Neurospora crassa OR74A: one gene and its partners. The protein of the gene in region 1 interacts with the protein of each later gene in a pairwise test. Links are inferred from orthologs where the notes say so. Each region holds a gene or a part of one and is shown on either strand. Other genes may lie near its edges. The genes, in order: pcn, NCU10776 and NCU07482.

Region 1 (3,529 bases):
GAGTCCTCGAATGGTCCAGAAATTCGCCGCTAACGGTCATGGCACAGGGCCGGCCAGTCAATGACTCTTTTTTTTTTCCCCAGGAACCACCCATGCCCCGCCAAAAAGTTTCCTGCAGGGCGGGTTAGGGGCAACTTGAATGCGGAGTCCATTCAGCTGCTGGGCGCGCCCCGGGCCCTGGGCTGTTGTAGGCGGGAGGGGACGTCACGCAGGTGGTGGGTAGGTAAGTTACATACATTGAATGAACAATGTGGGGAAGCTGGTGAACACCAGGAACTTCATCGGATGAAAAAAAAAAAAAAAAAAAAAAAAAAAAAAAAAAAAAAAAAAAAAAAAAAAAAAAACAGTCGGGTGGAAGATTTCTGGAAAACACGCCGACTGACGGGAAGTGGTGATGTCAGTACTGGTGTACTTGTGATTGAACCCACTTCTGAGATACCTACTTTCAACGCCAAGCTGAACTCCCGAGAAGCGATGATTACCATAGTGATACAGGGAGGACAGTTTGCCGATATCAATGTTAGAAACCATCAGACAAAAAAAAAAAAAAAAAAAAAAAAAAAAAAGGAAACGACAACAGCATCGGGTTCCTTGGTGAAGGTGTGTTGTTGGAGGCCATCGCAATAATCATTGACACCTCGTCGTCTCCCCTAAACATTCATCTTCGCAGCAGAAAGAACAAAACGCCCTCTAAAACATTTGTGTGTAGTGTACTAGTGCCAGACTCTTTCAAAAACACAGATTTCTTTTTCTTCATATCCCTTTTCTTCTTCTCATCACTGCATCACCCCTTATCTTCTACATGACTTGCAATTCTCCTCCTCCCCATGATTTTATAGCAACTCGAGGTATACATGAAGGCATAGTTTCGTGGTGTTCGTAACAAAGATGTGGTTCGGTTGTTGGAGGTAAATGGGGCGTTTACTCCTCGTCGCCAATCTGTGAATCAGAACCAGTTAGCATCACGCCTGACAGAAAACAACCACCCAGAAAATGACAAACAAAGACATACCTTGGGCGCAAGATAGAACCTCAAGTAGCTGCTAGCCGAAATGTTGTACTCGACCAAAAGGGGCACCTCGTTGGAGAGGCAGATCTTGACCGTGCTCGACAGCGCGCTCGCCTTGCAAAAGTTGACCAGGTACTTGAGCGAGAACGTGAGGGAAACCGGCTCGCTCAACTCAATCTCGATATTCTCGCTGGGCTTATCAACGTTGGTGTGCTGGCGGAGGGTAATGCTGCCGTTGCCAATGTCGCCCTGGCAGCTAAACTTGACGCCGTCCTTGCTCGCCTCAATGTTGACGCTCTCGCTCATGGCCATGAGGTCGGTGGTGATGCGCTTAAACTCAGAAGACGGCATGCTGATGGTGGCCGCGTACTCGGTATCCGGAATGCCCAGGTGCTCCTGGTCAATGTCCATGAGCTTGAGGTCGTACTCGGAGATACGGTCGTTTTCGGAAGATTCGAAGACGAGGTTGAGCACGTCGGGCGCGTCCTCGGCCTTGAGCGTCAGGATGTCCTCGTTCTGGGCGGCGCGGAGCACCTTGGTCAGCGACGTCAGGTTGACGCCGAGCGCAATGTTGCGGTCGCACCGGAAGGGCGAGAAGGTCTCCGTCTTGAGCATCATGGACACGAGCGCGACGTGCGAGTTGTCCATGGCTTGCAGGGCGATGCCCGAGTCGTTGCAGTCGAAGTTGCAGTCCTGCACGAGGTCCTTGATGGCGTCGACGACCTGGACATCATCGTCATCATCATGACAGAGTTAGTGGGGGTCTTCTAGCTGGGAAAGGAAACAGACAGCACTTGACAGGAAGAGGACATGACATACCTTCTTCAGGATCGACGCCTGCTCCAACCGTGCTTCAAGCATTTCTGTTGTTGTGGTAGTCCTCCAGTCAGCAACCCATCACTCCAGTTCTCCAGCTTTTCTTCCTAGTGCCGGGCCAGCGAGCAAGCGAGCAGGCAGCTTCACGCTCAGACAGAGACGACATACTGATGGATGTGAATTACCGAACTCGACGGGGGAAAAAAAGACAAAGAGGGAAGAAAATATGCGCGCGCTGGGTATCACTTTCGGGAGAGAGAGGCGCTCGTGGTTTGACGAAGAAAGAAGAGAGAAGAAAAGATTTGGATTTGGGAAGAGTTATGGTTTTGTTCAAAAAGCTGCAACAGGCAGGCAATGGACGATAAAAAGAGAGGAACCACCAATACCACAGGTGGTGCCGGGACACCCACTTCGCGACTTGACGCGCCTGCTAATGGCAGCTAAACGCGCTGAGCCGGGGTTAGGCTTAATTGATTTACCGCTTCAGGCTAGCTCCCGGTGCACGGTCCCGTTCTCCAGCGCTGTTAGTCCGCTTTCAGGCGCAATCTTCGCGTTTTCAGTGGGAGCTGTCGCCCTGAATCCCCTCTTTCTGTTTGGATCGTGTCTCGACGGCAATGTCGAACCAAAGGTATGCTGCTCACTTCAAGTTCCGATGATATGACTTCAACTATTCGACTCCCTCATTTCTGCGCGAACTCTGTTCTACCTCCATTCTCCAATATATTTTGATTATTACATTATTTCACCTATCTTACACCCTCCCCCAACTCAAAAAAGAATTTGTTACAGAATGCCCGCCCAAGATCGTCTGTATAAACTGTGTAAACGCCGTTAAATTCTGTGTCCCACATTGCTCGCTTGCCTGCCCCAGCTTTCAAATGTTCCCATGGTCTGTATGTCCGTCAAAACGCCATTCTACCCAAAGTTGTTGTTGTTGTTGCTGTTGTTGCTTTTCAAGAAAACTGGCAAGCTGACCTTCTCGTCGTTGTTGTTCGCCCCTCTCTTTTGTCTGCGCGCAATGCCTTGATGCCATGTAAGATTATAGTGGTCAAAGAAAAGAAACCCGAAAGAAAGACAGCGCGAATGCCGCAGAGTTTGTCTGTCGTCATAAAGAAATCCTCGTCGGCGCCGCACTCCTGCCGTTTCCCCCGCCTGGTCCCATGGTTGTATGTCTCTTCGGCCTCAGATTAATCACCATCTCCAACTCCTTCAACATGCCCCTACTCGCTTCCGCCTTCTCTCTCTGCATTGCCCTCATCTCTCTCTCCTCTTTCATTTTCACCAATCTCTCTTCCCTGGTCAGCATACTCCTGGGCCGAGCCGATAGCGCAACCGCCTCAAACACATCCGGCTCGTTGGGACTTGGCGAGGAGTTTCGTGTGGGAGACGTCTCCCCGGTGAGCGCTTTCAGCGCATCCTCCGCTCCGCCGCCGGTTTCGTTCTCTTCGCCGACAGTGGTCAACCCGCTTAGAGAGGTAGCAGGCGAGTACAGCATGCTCATAGACGAAATACGTTTCTCGTTGCGGTCGATTCCCGATGCTAGGGCAGCCTTGCCATCCTCCCAGGCTTGCTGCAGCATCTTGAGGTCTTGGCCAATGGACTCGTATTGCGACAGGAGGTCGAAACCAACTTCAGAGATGTCGTCGGCTTCGTTGAGTGCTTTCTCGGATTCTTCACGCAATAGTGCCAGCTTGGCTTGGAGAC
Region 2 (3,824 bases), on another chromosome or scaffold:
CAACAGTTCGTTGGCACTGTCCGTCCTCGACTGCCCGTCTCCTGCCCGTGGGGAAGACCCCTGCGCTATGCAATCCGACCCACCTCCGCCTTCGTTGACATGAAACCTCACAGTTTGATATTCAAACTTTCAACTGTCTTTGGGCGGCTTTGCTCCAAACCTCCGGTGCTTATCCAGAGGACAATGACGACGGCGAGGCTGGTCGTTCTCGAAATGGAATGAAATACGGGAACATGTGACACCCTCCCAAATCACTTCCAGTTCCCATTTGCAGCGAGTCTCGTTGAATGTCTCTGTTTCGGTCTCCACCGAGTCCACGTTAGGCTGATGTCATTTGTTCCAGCGGGACCAATTGGAACGGCTGGGATTACCACCCAACAATGAGCCGAGGCAAGTGTGGTGCTGCCACGGTGCGTGCCGCGGTGCGTGCCGCGGCCACAGCCTGTAGTGTAGTGCACTGCACAAAGACCGAGCCGATGCTAAATGCACGTACTGTACGTGTACTATCATGGACCTTGTCATAGCGAACTCCATGGGGCCGACTAATTGTGGAGTTGGAGATACATTAACATAACTTTCTTATTGCAGCAGTTGCTCCATGGTAGCGGTCTGTATGATCCCATCCGTATCCCATGATCATCAATCAATATATAGCTAGATGGCGGTAAATCTGTGAGGACTCAATCGTTCGCATGGCAAACGCAAAAAAAACAAGTAGGTACACATTCCCGTAACCTTGGGTTCCACGGATTCCTCGACGTGCTAAATAATACACACATCTCCGTACCCTTTTCCCTTCCGCCTTTGTAAAACTCCCATAAACTCCTGAATACCTGAAACGCCAGTACCCATCAGAACGCGGTAAGTAATCGGGCCACGTAATGACATTCCCGCCCTAAGCACCACGAGGCTTCGCCTTAAGCTTCGCCTTTTCCTTTTTCTCCTCCTTGACCTTCTTCCTCTTCTGCTCCGCCTGCTCCTCCAGTTTGCGCTTATGCGCCTTCTTCTCCTCCTCCGTCTTGGGCAGTATCTTGAAGAAACCCTCGATTCTCGCCTGTTGTGAAGTCTTCATGTTCTTCTCCAGCTTTGTGCCCGCGCTGCGGACACGGTCCTCCGAAAACCCCTTCTCATGAACCAGGAACTGGATGAGCCCCTCGATGTCGGGCTTATCCCACTTAAAGTCGCACAGCGGGTCGTCGGCGGGCCGCACGTCCGGCTCGAAGAAGAGCGTGCGCGCGTCCTCAAACGGCCAGTCCTCTGGGATTTGGTAGCGGCCCTTGGGGTCCGCCTTCATCCATTCCACCACCTTCTCCAGTGTGCCGTGCTCGCGGATCAGCTTGAGCGCTGTGCTGGGTCCGACTTTGGGGATGGGGTCGAGGTAGTCGCAGCCAAGGAGAATGCAGAGGTCGATGAACTGTAAAAGAGGGTGCTGTCAGCATATCGCAGTATTTTTTTGATAGCCCGAAGAAACAAAAGGCAGGGGGGGAAAACATACTTGCTTCCTCTCCATACCCAACCCCTCCAACACCTTCTCCAAATGGATTTCCTGAATCGGCTCCTTCCTCTGCTCGCTAAACGTCAAATGCCTAAGCAAAATCGGCGCGTTGAAGCACAGCGTATCCATATCCTCGCTGGCAGCCGCATACACCTTGCCCGCCCGCGCCAGCACTGCGCATTGCGCCTCCGCCTCGGTGGGCGCCACAATGTAGGGGATGCCCATCAACTTCAACAACTTCTGGCACTCGGCATTATGCTCGCGTGTGACGCGGACCGTTCTCCGACTGAACTTCTCCACGTCCTCGGCCGTGCCGGTTTCTTTGGCCTCCTCCAGCCCTTCGGTGGCTTCCTGCTTGCGCTGGAACCGCTTGGCTAGCTCCCCGGACTTGAGTTTGGGCGGCGCGCCGTCGAATACATAAAGCGGCTTGATGCCGTTGTCGACCATTCGTAGGGTGCGGTAGAACATGCCCATTAGATGCGACGTGGTTTCGCCGGCCTCGTTCATTAGTTGTTGGCCATCGGAGCGGACGGCGATTAGGAAGCTGTAGATGCTCATGGAGCTGTATAACGTTTAGGGAGGAGGTTATGATGTCAGCGATTATGGTACGGTAGGTTACGTTTTTTTTTTTTTTTCTCCTTCATGATCGAGGTCGGGGTTGGGGTCGGGCGGGGGAGTCGTACGCATCCTGTGAAAGGAAGGTGAAATGTTAGCATATTTTGAAGAGAAAGAGTGCATTGATTAAAATGACATAAAACTCACAATGGCAACCTTGCGACCGAACTGATTCTTGATCTCACCCTCCTTGATGGCGTCAGGCGCTTCATCTTTGATGACCGAAAAAAGCTGTTTAATACCCATCTTTGCGATTGTTATTCATGCGATTCCGGGTTCGAGATTGGGACAAGGTGGTAAGTCGGGCGGATTCCGTGCAGAAATTGGAGAAAGTCAAAGTACAGTAGGTTGTTGTTGCAGACGGGACGGAGGTATCTTGGTCTCTTGAAGGTAGGTGATGTCACTTTGTGACGGGAAACGAGAGGAGGCTTTCCGCGTCCGTCCAGTGGAATTGACGCGCTGAAGCTGCTGAAGACCGGATTGCCTGCCTGGAGACGCACCTCTTTCGCGATGGTAAATGTGGGGCACTTAGAATCCCTGCGTGTGTGTGCTCTCATATTGGAGTGATGCTCGGACAACTACGGGTTAGGGTTGGACGTTTACTCGAAGCCAAGGGGTTGAAAGATCAAGTTGTGTCTTCTTCTTCATGCTTGTGTTTCTTCCAAGGAGGACACTTTCTGATGCGATTTCAATTTGATTGCAAAGGAACACAAATATCTTATGGTTTCTTGACAACATAACGTCTTGAACAAATTTCCTAAATACCTCGAGCTTCTCCATTACCTGGAAACAATAATTGGTATAACTGGCACATAAAGAGGTGAAACAGGTAACGAGCAAATTTCGCAGTCATCGCCGTCCAAACATGCTCATATACTATGGCATAAAAGGCAGAAATGATTTAGTAGATCGTGCCTCATACTGAGGTTATTGAGTGAACAGGGTAAGGGGGACAGAAACCAGGGTGAAGTCTTAGAAGTTCTCCTTGCCCCAAACAAAGTGGAAACTAATGCAAGATGTTAGCGGTCTTTCCGTTGCAAGTCCACCACAAAAGAACCATGAACTTACCCAGGCTCACTATACTTGTTGCAAAAGATGTGCAGCGAGCTGCCCAGTCCCTTGGGACCGCAGAAGAACACGCCAGCCTCGCCCGGAGCATGCAATTTCCTGATACCCCTAAAGATCATATCCCAGTTCGGACGGCCAAAGTTCGTCGGCGACCTCAAGCCAGTAATGGTATCCTTATCGGCGTTGGCATCATTGATCATGATGTTGGTCGCATCGTCAATCTTGATCTTGGCCGTCAGGTACGTGTGGATCTCGATGCGGTGGTCGACATCTTGGGCCTCGATAGCCAACAACAGAGAGCGGAACCACTCGAACGAGCCGAAATCTCTGCAGACCCAGAAGAAGTACACCTTGCTCAGCCGCGTCTTTTGTTGCGGGTAGTTCATGCGATACCAGATCGACTTGAGGATGGAGGCGAAGGGGGTCACGCCGATACCGGCGCCGACCAGGACGGACACCTCGTACTTGAACACGTCTTCGGAGGCGGAGCCGAACGGTCCATCGACGTACACACGGGGAAGAACACGGCGGAGAGCGGGATCAACTTCGTCGTTCTCCTGGCTGACGCCAACGACCTTGGACGTGTCTCCCTTCTTCTTGTTGTCGAATTCGCACCCCAAAGTCTCGGCAAGTTGCCTGGTAAAAT
Region 3 (4,134 bases), about 9.0 Mb from region 1:
AGAAGCAGGAAATCGAGCGTTTACAGTAATAGCAATAAATCAGTTAAAGGAGGATGGTCGTGGGGTGGGAAGCATGGACATCATCATCATTATCATCAGCCGAGGATTGAGATCCCAGGGGAGAATGAGGAGGATCTTTATTATGGTGGGGCGTTTACGACTTCGAGTTCGAGTTCAAAATGGAGGGCGAGGCAGAGTAGGAAGAAGCAAAAGCCCAAGACCGCCATGGGCGTGGTGGTGACGGAGTTGTGGACGACGGTTTGGAGGGTGGCGTGGATGGTGGTGGTGGTTTTTGGGTGGTTGGCTTGGAAGGGGTAAGTCGTTCGTTAAGACACATAGTTAGGGGAGGGAATTGAAGAAATGGGGGAGAACATGGTGATGAAGCAGGAAAAAAATCTGGTCGCAGCGGGCGTGAAAGGGGATGTTATCTGATAAAACCGTCCAGGGGCATCAATTAGGTGCCGGTACATACTATAAATCTTATCATATTTACATGTACATGGTTCAACATCATGACCCGTCTTTATACTCCGTTGCCTGACGAGATGCCTATTAGCTGATGCTCTATATAAACTCGCTCGAGCTAGACCTAAGAGCAATACTGACAAATAACTCCAAACACCAACCCTAAAACAGCAAGTACCCTTTTCCCAAGTCCAATCAAAACTTGGCTCCTTGTAGCGTAACACAACGGCCGCATGCCCCTGGGTAAAGAAACTGTGTGCGACCCAGCTCGCAGATCCAAACATGTACAACCAATTAGCCCATCAAATCACCCAAACATCAGTCCTCCTCCATCTTCTCCGTCTGCTCCTCCTCCTCCTCCTCCTCCTCAGGAACAGGAATAGCATTCTCATCACCTCCCTCCTCCCCCTTATTCTTCTTCTTCTTCACCATCAAATCCGTCTTTAACTCCTCCTTTCCGCCCTCCTCCGTCACGACCTTTTCCACAACAGCCTCAACCTCCTTTAATCCCTCCTCATCAAAAATCTCTCCACCTTCAAACTCATCCTCCTCCTCCTCTTCTTCTTTCTTTTCCTTCTCCCCCTTCCCATCCTTCCCATCCTTTTTCCCCTCCCCCTTACCCTTCCCCTCTGTTTTCCCCTTCTCCCCATCTTCATCAGCAAATATCGACTTCCCCTCCACCAAACTCCAATCCACCCTTCCTTCCTTCCCATACCTTCCCTCCAACCACTCATTCCCCTTTTTGAAATGCCCCGCATCAAAAAACCCTCTATGCGCACTCAACGGACTCGGATGGACACTCCTCAACACCAAATGTCTTTTCCCATCCACCTTGGCCATCCGCTTCCCCGCCGGCGCTCCCCACGCCATGAACACCACCCCCTTTTTCTGTCGCTCATTTACCAAGTCGATAACTTTCTGGGTAAAGCGTTCCCAGCCGCGGTTCGCGTGGGAATTGGCTTCGTGCGCGCGAACTGTGAGGCATGTGTTGAGCAACAAGACGCCGCGGGTTGCCCAGGGGGTTAGTAGCCCGCTCTTGGAGGGCGGGGGGGTAAAGGAGGGGTAGTCCCGTGCGAGGCCGATGAAGATGTTGCGCAGGGAGGGCGGGGCGGGAGTCGGAGGTCGCACGGAGAAGGAGAGGCCGTGCGCTTGGTTGTGGTTGTGGTAGGGGTCTTGGCCGAGGATGAGGACGCGGACGGTGGGGAGGGGGGTGTGGCGGGACCTGTGTTGTTTTGGGTGGGTGTTAGTGATGAAAATTGAATGGACGGGATGGTAAAAGAGAGGGGAGGAGGGGGGGAAGGGAAGAAGGGAAGAAGGGGAAAAAAGAGAGGGGAAAAAAAAGACAAACCAGCTATATATATCCTCCTTGGGCGGGAATATCGTCTTGGTCTCCCACTCTTTCTTCAAGAACCTTTTCAAGTCGAAAAACTCCTTGGTTACAATCTCCTCCTTCAGATGCGCCAACCAGCTCTCATCAAGGGTGTCGATCTCCAGCTGTAAAAGGTCGCGTTGCTCGGGCGTCAGAGAAGCTACCCATTTCTCCTTGTTGAACTTTTTGGTTACGGTGGCGGGGTCGGGGGTAGTAGTAGCGGTAGTAGTAGTACTGCTGTTGCTGTTGCTGAGCTGACTTTGGCTGCGGCTGGTCGATCGAGTGGTTGGAGAAGAGGAATTGAGAGGGCCGCCGGGCTTGGGAACCCCGAAAAAAGACATGATGTTGCCGTTTTGATTGGGCTTTTTGGCGTCGGGGGAGGGGCCAGGCTGGGAGGAGCCGGCTTTGCGTTTGAGGGAGGACATTGTTCTGAGTGAGAGATGGTGGTGATGGTGGTGGTTTGTGGGTGAGGTTGAGGTTGAGGTGACGGAAAAGAGTTGAGAGACGCCGACTTTCAAGATAGCCCAGAGAGGTCGTGAGGTTCTTTGAAGCCGTGATGGTTGACTATCTTGAGGGTGAGAACTTGTTGATCGAGTGAAAAGAGTCGTTGTCTGGGACGGTGGAGTGAAGTCGAGACTCCAATCTGGGATTTTCTCGAGTGGAAAATGTCTTTCAAATTCACTCTTCAGTGGGAAATAGCTGGGGAAGAAAAGCAACGTTCCTTTCTCTGTTTGCTTTTCCAAACAGAATGTTATCAACCACCTCGGTTCGCCCAATGGAAGTGAATGACGAAACAACGCTAAAAAAGCAAAAGCGCGTCTTCACTCTCCGGCCCTGCAAGGTTCTCTCTTCTCCAACGAACAACGACGCGACTTTTGGCGTCATTGTTCATTCAATTAAGACTCTAGTCTGCGTCTAGTCGGCCCCACCGATGCCGCCGTTGAAAGCGGATCCCGTCCCGCTGCTCCGCATTGGACCTCGCGGGCCCCGCCGAAGAGATTCCGTTAGCGCAAGGGAAGTGCTGGAGTCAACTGGAGCCGCCGAAATCGGGCACTTGAGGTTGCCGTAACGGCTGAGCGGGGTGGAGATGGGGGACCTTGCTGGCCTGCATCATCTTCCTTTTTACCTGTGACATCGTCTGAAGTTACTTCTCTTGTTAAGGAGTCACTTTTTGCAAGTGGCCTTCAACTCAATTTCATGTACTATATGAATTAACGCTAGAATTGGAGCAATTTTTTTTTCTTTCTTTCTTTTTCCCTCCAATTTTTCTTCTTCCCTCCAATTTTTCTTCTTCCCTTTCTTTTTTTCTTTTTCTTCTTGTTTTTATGTTGTGACTGTCCTGCCGAACATTCCCTCAGCGGAGTCAAGTACGACATCAAGACCGGCCCCGGGTTTTACGGAAGAGGTGGAGGCCCCTGACTGGATCATCCCGTCGCATCTTCCGTCCAACGCTCATCTGGATGCCGAGCTCGCCGAGGTTCCGGTAGGGTCGCACAAGATGTACCCGTTCTGATCCTTGCACCCACTGCCAGATGAGGCGCTGGCGAAGTCCTTCTAAAAAGTGGACATGCCGGTATCACTATAAGTCTTAGTTATGCGATTCTGGGGAACATCTTCATGTCGAGTGAACTGAAAGCTCTTGGTGTTGTTAAACAGATCGGTTCATCGGCATTGTCTGTCCAAGATCGCGCCTTGTTTGCATTTTCTTGGGTACAATTGCGTTGATAGGAACAGAATTAAGAAGAAACAGGAGCAAAAACTACGAAAGAGAGACGGAAAGAAAGGGGCAACAAATCAAGCAAATGCACACATTTCAACACGCTATAATATGTATCATCAACCCAAACATCTCCAAGAGAAAATCCAAAAGCCCATAATGGCAGTCATTGCCCCTCGCCATAACCTCTACTTACCTTCCACTTCCAGGCAACTCAGCGTTGTACCACAAGCTCGTACACAACGCACGTCATCTCAGCTAGGTAAAGGAGGGACGACCAAGTTGTACCAGGAGCGGGTATCACTTTGCATCGATCCCTTGGGATGAATGAACATGATCAAATCGGGATCTCCGAGATCTTGTCCACCAGTTGTGGTGAGTTGAGACTTGGAATAAAGCCGTTTCCAGCAATGCTTGGAGAAAGCCTACACACATGGCTTGCAGTTCTGGACTTGGGTCGACAAACCTTGTCTGAGCAGTAGTCGCCAGGATGATGCGGATGACAGATTTTGAGTTTGACTAACAATCACGCGATTACGACGCTTCGTATCATATTCTTCTTTCATGCTCGGATTCATCTAGT

The links.
Region 2: the proteins of pcn (region 1) and NCU10776 interact in binary tests that used the Saccharomyces cerevisiae proteins (3 or more experiments, as listed by UniProt). The link is inferred for Neurospora crassa OR74A from reciprocal best matches to the Saccharomyces cerevisiae genes POL30 and RAD27.
Region 3: the proteins of pcn (region 1) and NCU07482 interact in binary tests that used the Saccharomyces cerevisiae proteins (3 or more experiments, as listed by UniProt). The link is inferred for Neurospora crassa OR74A from reciprocal best matches to the Saccharomyces cerevisiae genes POL30 and UNG1.

What each region holds. Positions count from the first base shown.
Region 1 is NC_026501.1:9,447,095-9,450,623, reverse strand, and holds pcn (proliferating cell nuclear antigen), read right to left. Parts: upstream 2,230-3,529; 5' UTR 1,994-2,229; intron 1,873-1,993; 5' UTR 1,871-1,872; coding exon 1,829-1,870; intron 1,733-1,828; coding exon 1,013-1,732; intron 940-1,012; coding exon 922-939; 3' UTR 567-921; downstream 1-566. Other genes in the region: NCU09240 (hypothetical protein), read right to left, coding at 2,931-3,529. UniProt on the Saccharomyces cerevisiae protein: This protein is an auxiliary protein of DNA polymerase delta and is involved in the control of eukaryotic DNA replication by increasing the polymerase's processibility during elongation of the leading strand. Involved in DNA repair.
Region 2 is NC_026507.1:3,045,966-3,049,789, reverse strand, and holds NCU10776 (DNA-repair protein rad2), read right to left. Parts: upstream 2,548-3,824; 5' UTR 2,357-2,547; coding exon 2,258-2,356; intron 2,184-2,257; coding exon 2,179-2,183; intron 2,058-2,178; coding exon 1,496-2,057; intron 1,415-1,495; coding exon 896-1,414; 3' UTR 563-895; downstream 1-562. Other genes in the region: nox-2 (NADPH oxidase 2), read right to left, coding at 3,083-3,116, 3,179-3,824. UniProt on the Saccharomyces cerevisiae protein: Structure-specific nuclease with 5'-flap endonuclease and 5'-3' exonuclease activities involved in DNA replication and repair.
Region 3 is NC_026501.1:466,638-470,771, forward strand, and holds NCU07482 (uracil-DNA glycosylase), read right to left. Parts: upstream 2,659-4,134; 5' UTR 2,260-2,658; coding exon 1,814-2,259; intron 1,688-1,813; coding exon 784-1,687; 3' UTR 504-783; downstream 1-503. Other genes in the region: fr (manganese ion homeostasis protein), read left to right, coding at 1-318. UniProt on the Saccharomyces cerevisiae protein: Excises uracil residues from the DNA which can arise as a result of misincorporation of dUMP residues by DNA polymerase or due to deamination of cytosine. Not involved in strand-directed mismatch repair.